2 linked regions of the Danio rerio genome follow. The protein of the gene in region 2 purifies or fractionates together with the protein of the main gene of each other region. This does not show direct contact. Links are inferred from orthologs where the notes say so. Each region holds a gene or a part of one and is shown on either strand. Other genes may lie near its edges.

Region 1 (8,402 bases), on a different chromosome or scaffold from region 2:
CTGATAGAAAGGCAACAGTAACTCAAATAAGCACTCGCTACAACCGAGCTCTGCAGAAGAGCATCTCTGAACACACAACACGTCCAACCTTGAGGCGGATGGGCTACAGCAGCAGAAGACCACACCGGGTGCCGCTCCTGTCAGCTAAGAACAGGAAACTGAGACTACAATTCACACAGACTCACCAAAACTGGACAATAGAAGATTGGAGAAACGTTGCCTGCTCTGATGAGTCTCCATTTCTGCTGACACATTCAGATTTTCAGGTCAGAATTTGGCCTCAACAACATGAAAGCATGGATCCATCCTGCCTTGTGTCAGCGGTTCAGGCTGGTGATGGTGGTGTAATGGTGTGGGGGAGATTTTCTTGGCACACTTTGGGTACATTAGTACCAATTGAGCATCATGACAACGCCACAGCCTACATGAGTATTGCTGCTGACCATGTCCATCCCTTTATGACCACAGTGTCTCCATCTTCTGATGGCTACTTCCAGCAGGATAACACACCAATCCTGAATCATCTCAGACTGGTTTCTTGAACATGACCATGAGTTCACTGTACTCAAATGTCCTCCACAGTCACCAGAGCTCAATCTAATAGAGCAGCTTTGGTATGTGGTGGAACGGGAGATTGGCATCATGGATGTGCAGCCGACAAATCTGCAGCAACTGCGTGATGCTATCATGTTAATATGGAGCAAAATCTCTGAGGAATATTTTCATTACCTTGTTGACTCTCATAGATATTTACATTATTGGAAAAAATGCGTCAGTAGAGCCACCATTTTAGTACAGGGTCGCACTCCTTTGAAATGAATGCGGAAAGGTGCAGTGGAGGTCTTTGGTCATGCAGAGGCCTGTGATCGGGAGTTTTCCCGGTGGTCAGTATCCAATGTTTTTTTAAATTACGAAAATTCTCATTTTACATCACAATGCCCGTGCAGTAACACTGACGAATGTGTTTGTGTGCATGAAAATGTATTATCTTCCCTCTCTGTTAAATTTGATCTAATCCGTGTCCTGAAACACACACCCTCCTCTCCCGCTTTCACTTCTAATGCTAACGGAGGGAGCGATTTGTTTGTGAATGAATCTCCATTACGAAGGACTCGTTCACTGAGCCGACAATAATACAAGTTTCAGGCAAGTTTCTTTCTACTAGTTAGGTGTACCTAATAAAGTGGCCGGTAAGTATACATGCATCCAGATCTGTCTGTCTGTCTGTCTGTCTGTCTGTCTATCTATCTATATATCTATATATATATATATATATATATATATATATATATATATATATATATATATATATATATATATATATATATAAATATAAATATATATATATAAATATAAATATATATATATATATATATATATAAATATAAATATATAAATATAAATATATATATTTATATTTATTTATTTATTTATTTATATATATATATATATATATATATATATATATATATATATATATATATATATATATATATATATATATATATATATATATATATATATATATATATATGGATGGATGGATTTCATGTCTCACCTGTAGATGCTCCTCGATGTCCTTGCGGTCGTAGGTGATGCCGCTGGGAGTAATGCAGGGTTCCCTCATCAGCTCGAAGCTGATCTTCCCACACAGGTAATCGGGGATCTCGCGTTTCTGCACCACCACCCAAACACACAGACAACATTACAAGGAGCAGGATTTGGGCCAGTGATATTTCAGAGTCAGTGCAGCGATCAGAAAATCCCTTCATACCTTCCTCTTTTCATCTACTTGAGAGAAAAGCTCATCCATGTCCATCAGATACTTATCCTGCAGGGACGAGCACAGGAAATGACATCACTTCATCAATCATACACCGATTATATGCAGGGAATAATCGACAATATGCCTGTAATTATTAGAATAACCTGCATCCACTGACTTCCATAGTATTTCTTTTCCTATTATGGCAGTCAATAGATACAGGTTTACAGCTGTTTTAGGATCATCTTCAAAGCTCATCGGCCAATCAGAATCGAGCATTGTGCTGTACTGTGGTATGAGATGTGTTTATGTGGACGTCTCACATGCTTGGACTTCATCTTGCTAATGTCTCCTCCATTCTGACTGTCATCTGACTGCTTCACTCGGTCGTCCAGCTCTCTGAACACACACACACACAAACAGAAGCATGAGCACACTGACAGATACTCACACACACACGCACATGCACGCACTTAAACTCACACAAACAAACAAAAACACAAACGTACAAGAGAGACATAAACACAGAAAAGCACACACACAAAAGCACTCACACACACACACACACACACACACACACACACACACACACAAACAAACACAAACACACAGAAACAGGAAAGCAAACACACATGCAAGCAAACACGCACACAAATAAACACAAACTCACAAACACATGTACAAAAAACGCAAACACACACAACCAAACACAAATGCACATACAGAGAAAAACAAACACAAATGTGTACACACACACACACACACACACACACACACAAGCAAACACACACACAAAAAGACACACACAAAAACACAAACACACAAAAGCCACACAAGAAAACACACACAAGCAAACACACAAACACACACACACACATAAAGCCACGCACAAAAAACACACACAGCCCCACAAGTAAACAAAGACACACAGACACACACACTGATACAAATAAACACAAACTCACACAAACACACATACAAAAAAAAATCACAAACACACACACACACAAATGCACACACAGACAAACACACACACACAAACAAACACACAAAGACACACACACACACACACACACACACAAAGCCACGCACAAAAAACACACAAGCAAACAAACAGACACATAGACACACAAGCAAACTCACACACAGAAGCCCACATGGACACAAATAAACAAACACACATACAAAAAAAAACACAAACACACACACACAAACACAAATGCACACACAAACACACACACACAAACACAAATGCACACACAAACACACACACACAAACACAAATGCACACACTTAAACTCACACAAACAAACAAAAACAAAAAGCACACACAAAACACACAAGACAGACACACAAACAAATGCACACATGAACAAACAAAGACACACACACAAGCAAACACACACACAGAAACACAGGCAAGCAAACACGCACACAAATAAAGAAACTCACACAGACACACATACAAAAAAAACACATATGCACACACAAACACACACACACCTCTCCTTCTCGGCCAGGATGAGTTTGCTGAGATAGGCGTGCAGCTCGTTCTCTTGGCTGATCCGCTTCTCCTCTATGCTGTTCCAGCGTTTCTTCTTGGCGATGCGAAGAGCACTTGGGATGTCGTCTCCAAAATTGAGCCTCTGTTCCTTCGCCAGGTTATAGGCTGGAAATGATTCAAAGAGCAATTTAATCACAGACATTGTATGATGTCTAGACATTCTGTAGGGCATTTTAGAGATTTTGTGCCAATAATGTTTACTTATTTTATATACTATTAATGACTAATATATTGACCAAAAGAAAATCAACATTATTAGAGAATAGATTAATTTAATGAAAGAACTTTCACCCAAAAATTACAGTTCTGTCATCATTTACTCACCCTTTACTTGTTCAAAACATGTCAGAGTTTCTTTTTTCTGTACAGAAAGGAAGATTTTTTAAAGAAGGCTGGAACCCTGGAACCATTTGACTTCAATTAGTTTTGTTTTCTACTATGGAAGTCAATGGTTACAGGTTTGCAACATTTTTCAAAATATCTTCTTTAGTGTTCAACAGAATAAAAAAACTCCTGAAGTTTAAATTTTGGGGTGAACTATCCCATTAAATGAAGATAATTTGAAGAAAGCTGAAGAGCACTGACTTTCATATTAAAAAACAAGTTCTATGGAAGTCAATGGTTACAGGTTTTCAACATTTTTCAAAATATCTCCTTTTGTGTTCCATAAAATAAAGAATTTCATAAAGCTTTAAAAGATTGAAAAAAGGGTGAGCAGTGCTTCATTTGTGAATTGCGAGGTCCCAGAACAGATCGGGGTAACAGATCCGTCATGTTACCTCAGGATGTAGAGGTGCCACACACAAAAGTTTGGCACAGACTAAATTGAAGGAGGGGGTGGGTAAGATGGCGGGGCGTTGGATGGTGGAGGGGGGGGGGGTGTGTTTAAGATAGCGGGGCGTTGGATGGCAGAGGGGTGTCGCTGACGAAAGTGGAGAGGGTTGAGGAGTCGCGAAAGAAAGTGAAAGTGAACAGCGGATGAGGGCGGTTGAGGAGGGGGATCAGTAAAATGAGGTGCCAGATCAGATTTCAGAGGTATCCGGAATGTTTACTTTAAGCTAAATATTAGTATTTTTAACAATATCTAGTCAAATATTATTTGCTGTCATCATGACAAAGATGAAATAAATCAGTTATTAGAAATGAGTTATTAAAACTATTATGATTAGAAATGCGTGTATAATCCGCTCAGTGTGTACCTCTTTGTAAGTTGCCGATGGCTTCTTCGTAATTCTCCAGCTCCAGCTGACATTGGCCCAGAAAAAAGTGCGCCTTCACCGATTGGCTGTCGAGCTCGAGGGCGTGTTTACAGTCGGCCAGTGCCTTGTCGTACTGCTGTAGCTTGACGTAGCATAGCGCTCTGTTAGTGTAGTACACGGCCACTGATGGGTTACGATTCTACACAAACAAGCAGAGACACGTTTAATACAACACACAAGATCATACAGAACAACTCATGAGCAACTCCAGCATTATGGATGTGACATCTGGAGTACAAACTTGAAACTGAAAATTCACAGAGAATGTTTATGTTAATATTAAATCGAAATAGCAGTTAATATTTGTGACTAAACACAGAGTTAATCATAAAATATTAATCTGTAAGTGTGTTTTATACTTTAAATGAGAGAAACAAACATGCGTTATGGATGTGACCAAAACATTATGTGGATTTATAGCTTTTTAAATGTAATATATAAGTGCAGTATGTAAGTTTGACACCCAGTGGTGAAACTAGGTATTGCACCCCTTGATCAAAACAAACGCAAGCACAGGTTGCCAGATTGTACAGAAACCCGGAAGGGACGTAGTTGAGGAGAAAAAATTGGCTGGGAGAAAAAAATAATGGGTGAAAAAAAAATATGGTTGGGAGGAAAATATATATTTCTACGTTTTTGCGTTCCCTCGCGAAGATGTTTTGCGTTCTCTCGCAAAACTGTTTCTCCACAAACACTTCCTGTTCACTTCACTCACGTAAACCCACCCGTTTTAGCTGAAATTCTCCCATATTTTACCATTCTATCCCAATTTCTTTAATATGCAATATATATGCAACCTCTGAAGCAGTGAAAGCATGTATAAGCGCTGACTGACAGACGCGCTCCGTACAATAAACTGATCCCAGCTCAGCGTCTGTACACGCCATTTAAAGTGACACCTGTTATCAAACAAGTGAGCAGCAAATGAATCTCATGTTTTGTTTTGTTTGATAACAGAGGTGTCTCTGTAAGAATGCACAGATCAATAATGAAGCATTCCATTACTTTAGAAACTGTTTACGCTCATTTAAGAGAAAATAAGCTTTAGTTTTAAAATAAAACATGCAGGACGGAGATGTTTACATATTATTGAGTGTATTTGTCTGTTTAAACATACACCCGCTCCTCTGTAAATGGCGTATACAGAAGTATACATATTAAACATTATTATTAAACAGCACTAAATATTTGATGTTTTTATACAATAATTAACTTCTGAATTTATTTACAGTTGAGGGCAGATTTCTTCACCCTCTGGTGAATTATTTTTCCTTTTTTAATTATTTGCCAATGATGTTGAACAGATTCAGGAATTTTTCACAGTATTTTATTTGTTTTATTTTGGCTAGAATAAAAGCATTTAATAATTGTTTTAAACCATTTAATAGTCAATATTATTAGCCCCCCTATGCAATGTTAGTTTGGATTGTCTCCAGAACAAACCACTGTTATATTATGACTTGCCTAATGACCCTAACTTCACCCTAATTAACCTAGTAAAGCCTTTAAATGTCACTTTAAGCTGAATACTAGTGTCTTCAAGAATATCTAGTCTAATATTATGTGCTGTCATCATGGCAAAGAGAAAATAAATCAGTTATTAGAAAGGAGTTATTATAAATATTATGTTTAGAAATGTGTCCTTTAAACAGAAATTGGGGAAAAACTATTTACCAGAAGGTTTAATAATTCTGAACTTTCTGTGAGTCTGAATTTCTCCTAAACCCCCCGCTGTTGAAACTGACACACATATTTACTCTGTGTGTTCCCAGCACCCCTCACTCACGATGGCTTTGCTGTAGCAGGTGACGGCCTCCTGGTACTTGCGGCTGAGGAACAGGCGGTTTCCCTGCTCCTTCAGCTCCTGTGCGGATGAGCTTTTCTCTGGGCTGCTCGCCATCTTCTCCATGGGCTCTGCGGTGGCCGCTCCCCCCTGCTTCCCAATCCTGTTCCCCGTCTCTTCGGTGAGCACCGGCCGGTCCCGGGGAGCCAGTTACCTGCAAACCTCTCAGAAACACACAAGGAAAATATGAGCCACAGTAATGCAGGTGCAAAATCATAACAATATTCTTATGGGGTCAATTTTATTAGCCACCATAAGAATATACATTCAAAACAGTTTGTTAGAAACAATGATATGCTTTGCGTGTTTGTTTTTATGTTTATATAAGTGCTATTTTCATTTATAGCTCTTGATTTTTGCATTGATTTTTAATATCTCTTGTTTAAATACACTATGAACAGCAGCTACGCTAATTATTTTCTTTATTTTCTATTTCCACCTGGGGATACTCATCCCGAGGCCTCTAGAGATTGTGCAGCGCCATTGATGTGATCCAAGACCTGTGAAGAAATGATGCCAACCGCAGAGCACTTCTAGAGGTCTCCATAATCCTGGACCAGGCCGTATCCTGAGCAGATATCAGGGCCGGAGTGGGACTCATTTTCAGCCCTGGAGTTTCAAGCCAGACCAGCCCACCTCGACTGATTACATTAAAATAAGGTCATTTCCAATTCAGTTTCTAATGACACTATCACATCTTTTTTGAGAAAACAGCTGCTTTAGAAATTCAAATGTTCAACAACCCTTACAGTATTATGTCATAAAAACGAAAAATAATAATAATAATTTTTCAGGTGAGATTCGAACATGGGTCGGAAGTTTCGCAACGCAACGTGCTTTCCACTGGACCACAATGGCGCTATTCCAGTGGGAATAAAAAATAAAGATTACACTGTGAACGGCAAGACATAGTATTACTTTGATGGCTAAATCATTTTCTCCTTTTAGATTTCTGATCAAGTTTTGTCAGATTTAATGTAGTAAATCATCTGATTTTCATTGAGCAGGTGTATTATTCATTAATATTAATTATTCAAATTCTTATAATCACTAAGGTGCCACTGTTTGGGGTCGAATGATTAGTTACATCATCATTAACGTTAGTAAACCTGCAGGCTGCATTTTGCTCACGGAGCAGCAAGAAAAAAAATAAATAAAAAGAGCGGCGCTGCGGCAAAATAATGAAAAACAAAAAAAAAGAGTGAGGCTATGGTCAAATTAATAAATAAATAAATGAAAAAAGTGTGACTGCTGAGAGTGCAAGCAGCTAGGGACACTGGCCCTCACGGCCAAAAAACGGACCGACCCACCAGGAATTCTCTCGGTTCGCCAATCCGGGCCTGGCAGATATTGTGGTTGTCATGGAGGAGCTGAGAGCATAAGACTGATGCCTGAATCACCCCAGTGACAAACAAGTCCTCACATTTATCAAGTGGGCCAGCCTGAACACACGCCGGTGACCTACTCACACTTGCATCTTCTCCACGATGGACATCCAGCGTTCTCCAGCCTCCGGCGCCTAGACTGCTTTTCTGCAGTTTGGTCAGAGGAGAAATGGTCGTGCCCAACAGAGCCGGTTTCTCTCCAGGTTTTTTCCTTCACTTCAATCACGTCAATTGGTGAAGATTGTTCCTTCGCTGTTGCCACTGGCTTGCTTGGTTTGGGAATTGTGGAGCTGCGCATCGATGGATTTGCTCTTCAGTGTTTGAACTCTCAGTATTGAATATTAAACCACACTGAACTAATCTAAACTGAACTCCAACTCTGAAAACTGGACTGACAGTTTACACTATCACTATATCACTATAATCTTCTATGTTAAGCTGCTTTAACACAATCTGCATTGTAAAAGCGCTACAGAAATCAAGATATTTTTCAATTAGCTACAGAACAAACCATCATTATACAATGACTTGCCTAGTTAACATAATTAAGCCTTTAAATGCTGAATACAAGTATCTTGCAAAAACT
Region 2 (8,402 bases):
AAGCTGTGTGAGGGTAGATGGACACTTTTATCACAATCTTGGGTGAAACACTGCTACTGTAGAGTAGACTAAGATGTCTCATTAAGTTCATTATGGACAAGTGTGTCAGCGAGTGAAGACCAGCAATAAGGGATGAGCAGTCACACCTCACAGAGGCATATTTTTTCCAAAATAAGTGTCAGCAACAGAGGCTGGATTCATGGCTGCTGTGATGAGTCTTAATTAACAGCAGCCATGGCTCACAGCTGTGCTCTGCTATCATGCCCATCCAACTAAGTGACATGCTGGTTCTGCCGGACACTGAACAGCGAAAGGCTGGCCAGGGATAATTTGAAGGTAACACACAATACAGTATACTACAATTTTTTGTACACAATAACAGTGTTTTGCTTTAAGAATTCTCTTTCTTGTTTAAAGATTTGTTTAGCGTTTAAGGTAGAATGGTATGGACAATAGGCAGAAAGTAAAGTGGGCAAGAGGCTGACAGAATCGGGAAAAGCCCCAGTCACTGATGATAAAGCATAATGACACTACACATTGGAGAGCTGTCCATGAAAGTTTCACTTATGAAATTGTATTTTTTTTTTCATTTTAAATTTTTTAATTTGGGTGGCCTGGTGGCGCAGTTGGCAGCGATGTCGCCTAACATCAAGAAGGTCGCTGGATCGAGCCTCGGTTGGGTCATTTGGCATTTCAGTGTGGAGTTTGCATGTTCTCCCTGTGTTTGTGTGGGTTTTCTTCGGGTGCTCCAGTTTTCCACACAGTCTAAAGACATGCACTAAAGGTGAATTGGGTAAACTAAATTGTAGTGTATGTGTGTTTCCCAGTGATGGGTTGCAGCTGAAAGTGCATCCACTGTTTGAAACATATGCTGGATAAGTTGGCGGTTCATTCCGCTGTGGCGACCCCAGATTAATAAAGAGACTAAGCTGGAAAAAAGTGAATTAATTAAGTGAGTGAATTTTAATTTATATCTGAACAAACAAAGAAAGATGGTTGATTTACAATGCTATTATGTGTGCTATTTTTATTTTTTAAAATGTGTGTAGTAGTTCTTTATTTATTCAATGACTTTTTAAGCTATAGTAGATTCAGGATTCCTACCCGAGACCAGTTTCCTGACTTTTCCCTGACTTTCACTAACTAAAAAAGATGAATTTCCATGACCAATAATGAACAGAAAAACAGACAGCTGTTGTTTTGAGCAGGTAAACAGGTAAAGCCTGGTGACTGCATTTGACTTAAGTGTTTGCTGGTTGACAAGTGGGGAAAAAAAATGACACTGAAAAATAGACTAATAGGCAAGACATGAAACAACATTAAAAAAAATGCAAAAATTTTTTTATAAATGGAAAGTAAAATTTAAATGTTTAAAAAAACTGATATTCCATGATATTCAACAACAACAAAATATTTAAATTCACTAACTTTCAATGTCTAGAATAGACCTTTTAAAATTATATGATATTGCAGAATTTCCATGAGCTGTGGGAACCCTGAACATTACACACTGCATAATGCATAATAGGTAATATGCATAAAGCACAATGAGGCATTTTTTTTGAAGTGCTAAAACACCAGCTCAATGTCCTTGTGCTCCTAACAACAGTATGTCCATACTCACCCTGCCCTGTCTCCACTCCTGCTGCTACTGGGTCCAACCCCTCCACCATTATTGATGGTGAACATTCGCTCAGAGTGTTCAGAGGTGCTGCTGCCATCAGAATGCACATCGCTGCACGCCACATTTCCATGGTCACATACAGAGACAAAGAAAGAAAAAGTGAAAATAGCCTGTAATCAAAGTAAGGGCTTATCAACAATGTCATTTATGCAAGAAGAAAAAACATTGACTTTCATTTCAAATGAAATGAAAACTGGTTTAAACCATTCTTAATTCAAAGGTGTCATCCACTGGCATTAATTAACTGCACAGAGATGAATAAAGCAAGTCTTCAATGGAGAATAAAAGGGAAAATGTGTTTACCTGATTTAACAAACAAGTAATAAAAACCAAATCAGACAAACATAGCTTGAGTCAGAGCACAAAGTAAAAAGAATTCATTAGAATTTTCTCAGAAATAAAAAATACCCCCTGTCACTAATGATTGTGCTCCGACTTTAGGAACCCCTCGTTTTGCTTTGTTGGGTTTAAATAGAGATAAAATCTTCAGCAAACACAGTACGAGAACAAAGAGCTTAAACAATGGCAGCTAAAAAAGAAAAAGCTCCCTCTTCCTCGGCTGTGTCAGAGCTATAGTCCGTTGACTGCTCATTTGCCTAGCTCAAAGTAACTCGCCATGCTCCCCATGGACTCCCACAATGCATCTACGCGCCTCATTAGCATAGCACTGACAGTCCCGTAGTTGCAGAGGCTGACATCCACTTCATCCAACCATCCCGCGCACCTGTCTCCAACCAAGAGTTCCCTGAGATGTTGCCTCCCAATGGGCCTGTCCAGCTCTAGTTCTTGCCCCTTTTTCCCTTCTACTGCTCTCTCTGTCCATTTGTCTCTCTCTTTTTTCTCTGAGAGAGCCTAACTAAGAAAGAGCAAAACATCTCCTGTTTAAAAACACCTGTAAGCAAAGCGCTGATGAGTGATGCGTATTATAGAGCTAAAGTAATTAATTTCTCAGAATCACCACTGTTTTGAGCTGATGGCGGAGGACAAGCTGTGTAGGCCTGTTTGTGGCATTCATGAATATCATGTCAATATTTGTGCACTTTAAAAATTGATCCTTTATTTTCCAACACATCATAATGAGTGGATGTTCCCCAGCATGAGAGTAGGCTGATATCTGGAACCACTGGAGGCTAATTACCAGTTTCAGTTGGATCGATCCCTCTCCCTTCAGTGTCCATCAAAAGCTGTAGAATAACAGCCTTATGGGTGCTGACAGAGAGAAAGCGGTGTGTGGTCCTGCCTGCTTTCAGTGAAAGGTAAAGCCAATTTTCCAAACCTCTGGTACATTAGCGTACAGGGAATGAAACAAAGCAGGACATATTTTAAGATTGAGAATCAAATCAAAAGACTTATAAAGAGTAGGACTAAACTTTATTTAAATTATGGCAATGCCTAATACTGTATCTCTGACCTGTGTGAAAAACTGGTGAGTCCAATATACAGTAAGGAGGTTGAGTCTGAATCAAGACTAAGCTCATGTGGTTCCAGATTGATAACAAGAGACCAAGACCATGAATATATGCTCTTGGACACTATAAAGTCAAAGGACTTGGTCTTGTAATGGATCTCAGAGAATGACTCAGTTTGTTGTTCAAACTCATACGAATTTAATGCAACCATGCCGAGTGTTGACTAAAATACTGAACAAATGAGCGTGCATTATACTGTTCATTGGACTGGACTGCTCATCCATCTGAAATCAAATGATGTGCAAATAATAATGGGTGTTAGTTGTGTGTTATTGCCAGCCCTGATGTTTCCAGCCTCATGTCTTCTAAAAATGTAACATGCTTAAATATTAAAAATCCAAAATCAAACAAAAAGTGCTTCAGGGGTAGTTAAGGTGTACTCTTTGAGTAAGGGATTCATAAGGATAAACATTTAAATCATAAGTCCAAGGTACTCAAAAAGTAAGTGACATTTAAAAAAAAATAAAATAAAAAAAATAAAAAAAACTTAATTAACATGGCTAATCTACACTCACCGGACACTTTATTAGGTACACCTGTCCAACTGCTCGATGTGGTGGAACGGGAGATTCGGATCATGGATGTGTAGCTGACGAATGTGCTGCAACTGCGAGATGCTATCATGTCAATATGGACCAAAATCTCTGAGGAATTTTCCAATACCCTGTTGAATCTATGCCACGAAGAATTTCAGTTTTGATGGCAAAGGTGGGTCCAACCTGATAGTTGTAAGGTATATCTAATAAAGTGGCCGGTGAGGTTATAAAACAGCACCTACTAAAAAAATCACTTTTTGAGTGCCTTGGATTTTTATTTTCGTTGTTTATCTTTATACTAAATTATTATTTGCATTCAGCCAGAAGCCAAAAATGACAGACATTTTAGGAAAATTCACTGGAATAGGATAGAAATAAAGAACTGGGCATGAGATAACAACAGCAATTGCACAAACAGGTATGCTAACAAAATGTTGGAATCACAGCAATTACAAAATTCCAACCTGTAACAAGCCTATATTGAAATATATTGCAATGTTATATTTTTCCTTATATCGTGCTGTCTTAATGTGAGCTTCATTTAATAATCATGGTAAATTATGACAAGGTGTGACTGCAGCATAAAGCATTTTTTGTTTTATTGTGACAACAGATATAATAAAACAACAAACCATACAAACAAAACATTTGCCATTATTTGGTAGATTACAGTGTAAAAGCCTTAAAACTTTGTATTATGAATGAAGCCGCTGGCCTTTTTGTGTCCAAGCCACAAAATGTTATATTTTCTTAGTGCTGGACACCAGACCAGTTCATAAACTAAAATAAGGCTGTGAATTTTCTGCTTTCTCCAATTAGCAAACTGTTTGCATTAATGAAGTGAGAGCATGTTTACATTGGAGAGACAATGTTTGTGTTGCAACGTGGTCTTTTTGTATCCACGGTAACCTTGATGATAATTATGACAAACTTGCAGAAAAGCAACATCCACAGCCAAGCTGCAAATTATACAACCAAAATACAGCAGAGGGAAATGATCCTTGAAGTGAATTAATTAGTGTCTATTTCGCTAACAAACACCAAACGCTAGTAGGGAAACTTCTTTTAAAACTGCTGAAGAACTGACAAAACCGAGAAAGTATTTGAAATGTATGATGTTCATTTACATAAACATTAAACAGTGCTGTTCTCACCCAGAAAACAAAAACAGATGGGCATATCAGCGCAAAGACTGACTGAGTTCAACAATTCAGAACAACCAAATGCTTTAACACACAGACTGAATATATAACAGCAGCTTGTTTTTATCATGGTTACCGCCATTAACGATCACTTCTCATTTATTGTTGATCAACCCACAGATGAATAAAGTGCTCATTATGTTTGGCAAGCAATTATTTTGCAGAGTCAAGCTGAGTTTTTTAACCTTGCTTTATAAAACACATGACGGCAGCATTTTGGAGTCTTTAATGAGAGAAAACTACAAGAAAAAGTGATTTATGACCCTCAAGAAGGGCTGAGAGAGCTATGAAGGGATGATAGGAGACTCACACAGGTCTGCAGATGACAAGATCTCCTTTGTTGGTCCCATAAGCGAGCCCAAGCCCCGGATCTGGCAGCCAGCGGGCAGAGTTTATACTGACGTGTCTCCTCTGGTCTGGTGCCATTGGGTACACCACATCAAACACCCTCTGAAAAACACGTAAACACACACACACCTGTTTAAAACATCCCACAACACTCTCAGCAATAGTTCTTTTCAGTGGTCAGGTTCTTTCATTATCCTCTGCACTGTAGATTGCAGTCTGTGTCAGATATGACAGCGCTGCTAGCATAACTGAGAAGAGGCTAAACTGCGAAAAGTCAAATCTCATTCTCCAAAGTACTCTTTCCCTTTCTTTTCCAATCCATTCCCCTGTCCCCTGTCTGTCAGCCTTGGCATAATACTTACACTCCACTGGCTCCAGAAAAAAAAGGACAAAAATAGGACATGCTCATGTCTGCCAGAGAGAGAGAAAGCGGTCTCATTCATCTGCAGATGAGTGATCAACAGACAAACTCTTTCTCTCCTTCTTTACTCTAGACAGAGGAAATTCAGGACAAGGATAAAAGCCGCAAAGACTGGTGTTTCTCAGGGAAGAGAGCATGTATGACTGATGCACGTATTTGTGTGTGTATCTGCACCACAGCACCTGAACAGAGTGAGTGTGTGCACATATGGACCTATGCTGCAGGGACGTTGTGCAGCTTCACTCTCAAACACACAGTATAGGGCTCTTCTGAGAGGGGATTTATGTGCAGCACAGATTTTTGGTGCACAAACTACGGCTGCACGATATTGAAAAAAATCATATATTGGGATGTCTAACAGTTAATGGGTACAAAAATGAAACAATCACAATGCACAAAATACTGTTCTTTCTTTGCTTTGTCCCTTTTTCTAGTCCAATTATCTAAAAATTCTTAGATCAAGTGAAAATATAATTTTTTTTTTTAATTCCAGAAGAAAGTAATAGTTTTTTTCCCTTAAAACAAGCTAAATTATCTGCCAATTTGTTAAGTAAAATAATCTTGTTTTCGCCTTGAAATATAGAGGTTTAGACTAGAAACAAGACAAAAATTCTTAGTAAGAAAAAAACTTTTTCAATTCTTTTATAAAGAAAAAAATTATAAACAATTTATAAATAAATCATTAAAATAATTAATCAAATATATTATTAAATAAAACAAATCTTTGTTACACCTCTGCAGAATCTAACTAGGCATCTGAGAAACCTTATGGCAAATTTATGTGTGTTGTTTAAAAAAAAAACACACAATTCATTTGTGTTGTGTTTTACTTTGATTGGTTTTTAATCATTTTGATTCATTAAATTATTTTATTTAATCCTCTGATCAATAGTTATTTATATAACTATCATAATATCATTTTATTGATTATTAGATAATGATTATTATTTGTCATTTTATTAGGCTTTTATATATTATATTTTATTATCATTCTCCTATAATTATTGCTTTTTATTATTTCATTTTTCCATTTTGTTATAATCTTATAATTCAAGAGTGGATTCAAGTGACACTTGATTTCATGAGTAAGAGATGAGTGTCTCCATTTCAAGGTCTGTATTGCCACTGGACAATGTCATAATTTTTGTGCTCAAATGTTCTAAGCTTTCTTGAAAGGCTCAGTCACAGGCCTTAAAAACAGTACACATGCAAACTCTACAAATTACGTGTTTTGTGGCTCACTCTCAATTATATTTCAGACTTAACATTACATATCTTGCGATGTGACTATTGCAGATGAGCACACTGCGATATTGATGCTGAACTGATATATTGTGCAGTCCTAACACAGACTAATTAATATGAGTCTGATTCAGTTCCTAAAATGAAAGGCAAAAATCATATTGTGAACACTAAAACTACACAACTATGAATAACATTTTTATATGAATAAAAAGATCAAAACATAATTTATTTGAAATTGAAATATTTTGTAACATTATAATTGTCTTTACTGTCAGACTTTCAATTTAATGCATGATTAAATGCATAAAGAGGAATGCAAGTGCACACTCATTCAGTTCATAAATGCCACAGTGCTCAAAAACAAAATAATTAACAGCAAATTCCCCATCTAAAAACATCCTAATTTGAAACTACGCATCTATAAAAGAACATTGGCAGGTAAGCGGCGTGATGAGTATTTTGCAACAGCTTGAAAATGAAAAATCACTACTACATTAAAAAATGTATGTGTAGAAAAAGTTGTTCACAGCAAAGCTGAAGATAGAGCCTCGGGCTAACCTTTGTTCATTTTCTCTCTCTCTCCACTCTCCGGAGTATAATTAATCCTGGTAATAAGCAGACACATTAACGATGCTGATGTATTAAATTCATTCATTAACTGCCATATGAGAAAATATCACTTCATATAAACAAACAGAAAGATCTCCTTTAATAAATAAAGACATGGGAGGAAACAGAACATAATCAAATTATAGAATATAAAATGATAGAAATGAACAAATAAACATAGCATGAGAGAGAAATGTCTCAATAAACAAACGGCCATAAAAGCAGAAAGCACAGATAACGAAACGTACCCAAAGGTGCTGTTGCTATGGCTACTGCTGAAATCAGGCGCCCAGTGGGGACGGTGTTATGGCAAATAATGTATGGACTGTTTAAAATGCATTCAGCACCTGTCCGCCATGTTCCCATTATTATTAAGTGTACTGGGCCAGGTCTTTAACATTTACCCTTTGCTTACGCACACATGCATGCACACACACACACACACCTGACAGGTCCAGTGGTTTTGGTGATGATTAAAGAGTTCATCTGATCTTCAAGACAAGTTTCATCTTAGTCTAACATAAAATGCAGAGATAAAATTCAATGAAATCAATCTAAAAAGCAACTTTACACAGAGATGTGTGAAAAGCGGTGGAGCTGAAAGACTTGTATCAAATACGACATAATGCTGCATTATCTACATTCATTACATCATCTCTGTTAGTGGTGTTCAATAACCATTAGAGCATAGAAACAGCTCCTGAGAGTGTCATTAAGAGAGACCGATCTCATGTATGGCTCACATTTTAAATACAGCTCTAGCAGCAATAACACTGGCACTAAACTTTCCATCCTAATTTCTGATTAACAAACAGACGTTACTGTAAGAGCTCCACTGTGGTGGCCATCCTAATTAAAAGCAGGGAAACAACACTGACAAAATACACC

The links. The genes of interacting proteins can lie anywhere in the genome.
Region 1: the proteins of ambra1a (region 2) and stub1 purify together in Homo sapiens (affinity purification with mass spectrometry, with the first as the bait; 3 studies listed by BioGRID). This does not show direct contact. The link is inferred for Danio rerio from reciprocal best matches to the Homo sapiens genes AMBRA1 and STUB1.

What each region holds. Positions count from the first base shown.
Region 1 is NC_133199.1:43,374,709-43,383,110, reverse strand, and holds part of stub1 (E3 ubiquitin-protein ligase CHIP), read right to left. Parts: intron 6,596-8,402; 5' UTR 6,498-6,595; coding exon 6,375-6,497; intron 4,728-6,374; coding exon 4,529-4,727; intron 3,435-4,528; coding exon 3,269-3,434; intron 2,165-3,268; coding exon 2,089-2,164; intron 1,832-2,088; coding exon 1,775-1,831; intron 1,676-1,774; coding exon 1,559-1,675; intron 1-1,558. UniProt on the Homo sapiens protein: E3 ubiquitin-protein ligase which targets misfolded chaperone substrates towards proteasomal degradation.
Region 2 is NC_133182.1:39,499,268-39,507,669, forward strand, and holds part of ambra1a (activating molecule in BECN1-regulated autophagy protein 1A), read right to left. Parts: intron 5,342-8,402; coding exon 5,202-5,341; intron 1,736-5,201; coding exon 1,625-1,735; intron 1-1,624. UniProt on the Homo sapiens protein: Substrate-recognition component of a DCX (DDB1-CUL4-X-box) E3 ubiquitin-protein ligase complex involved in cell cycle control and autophagy.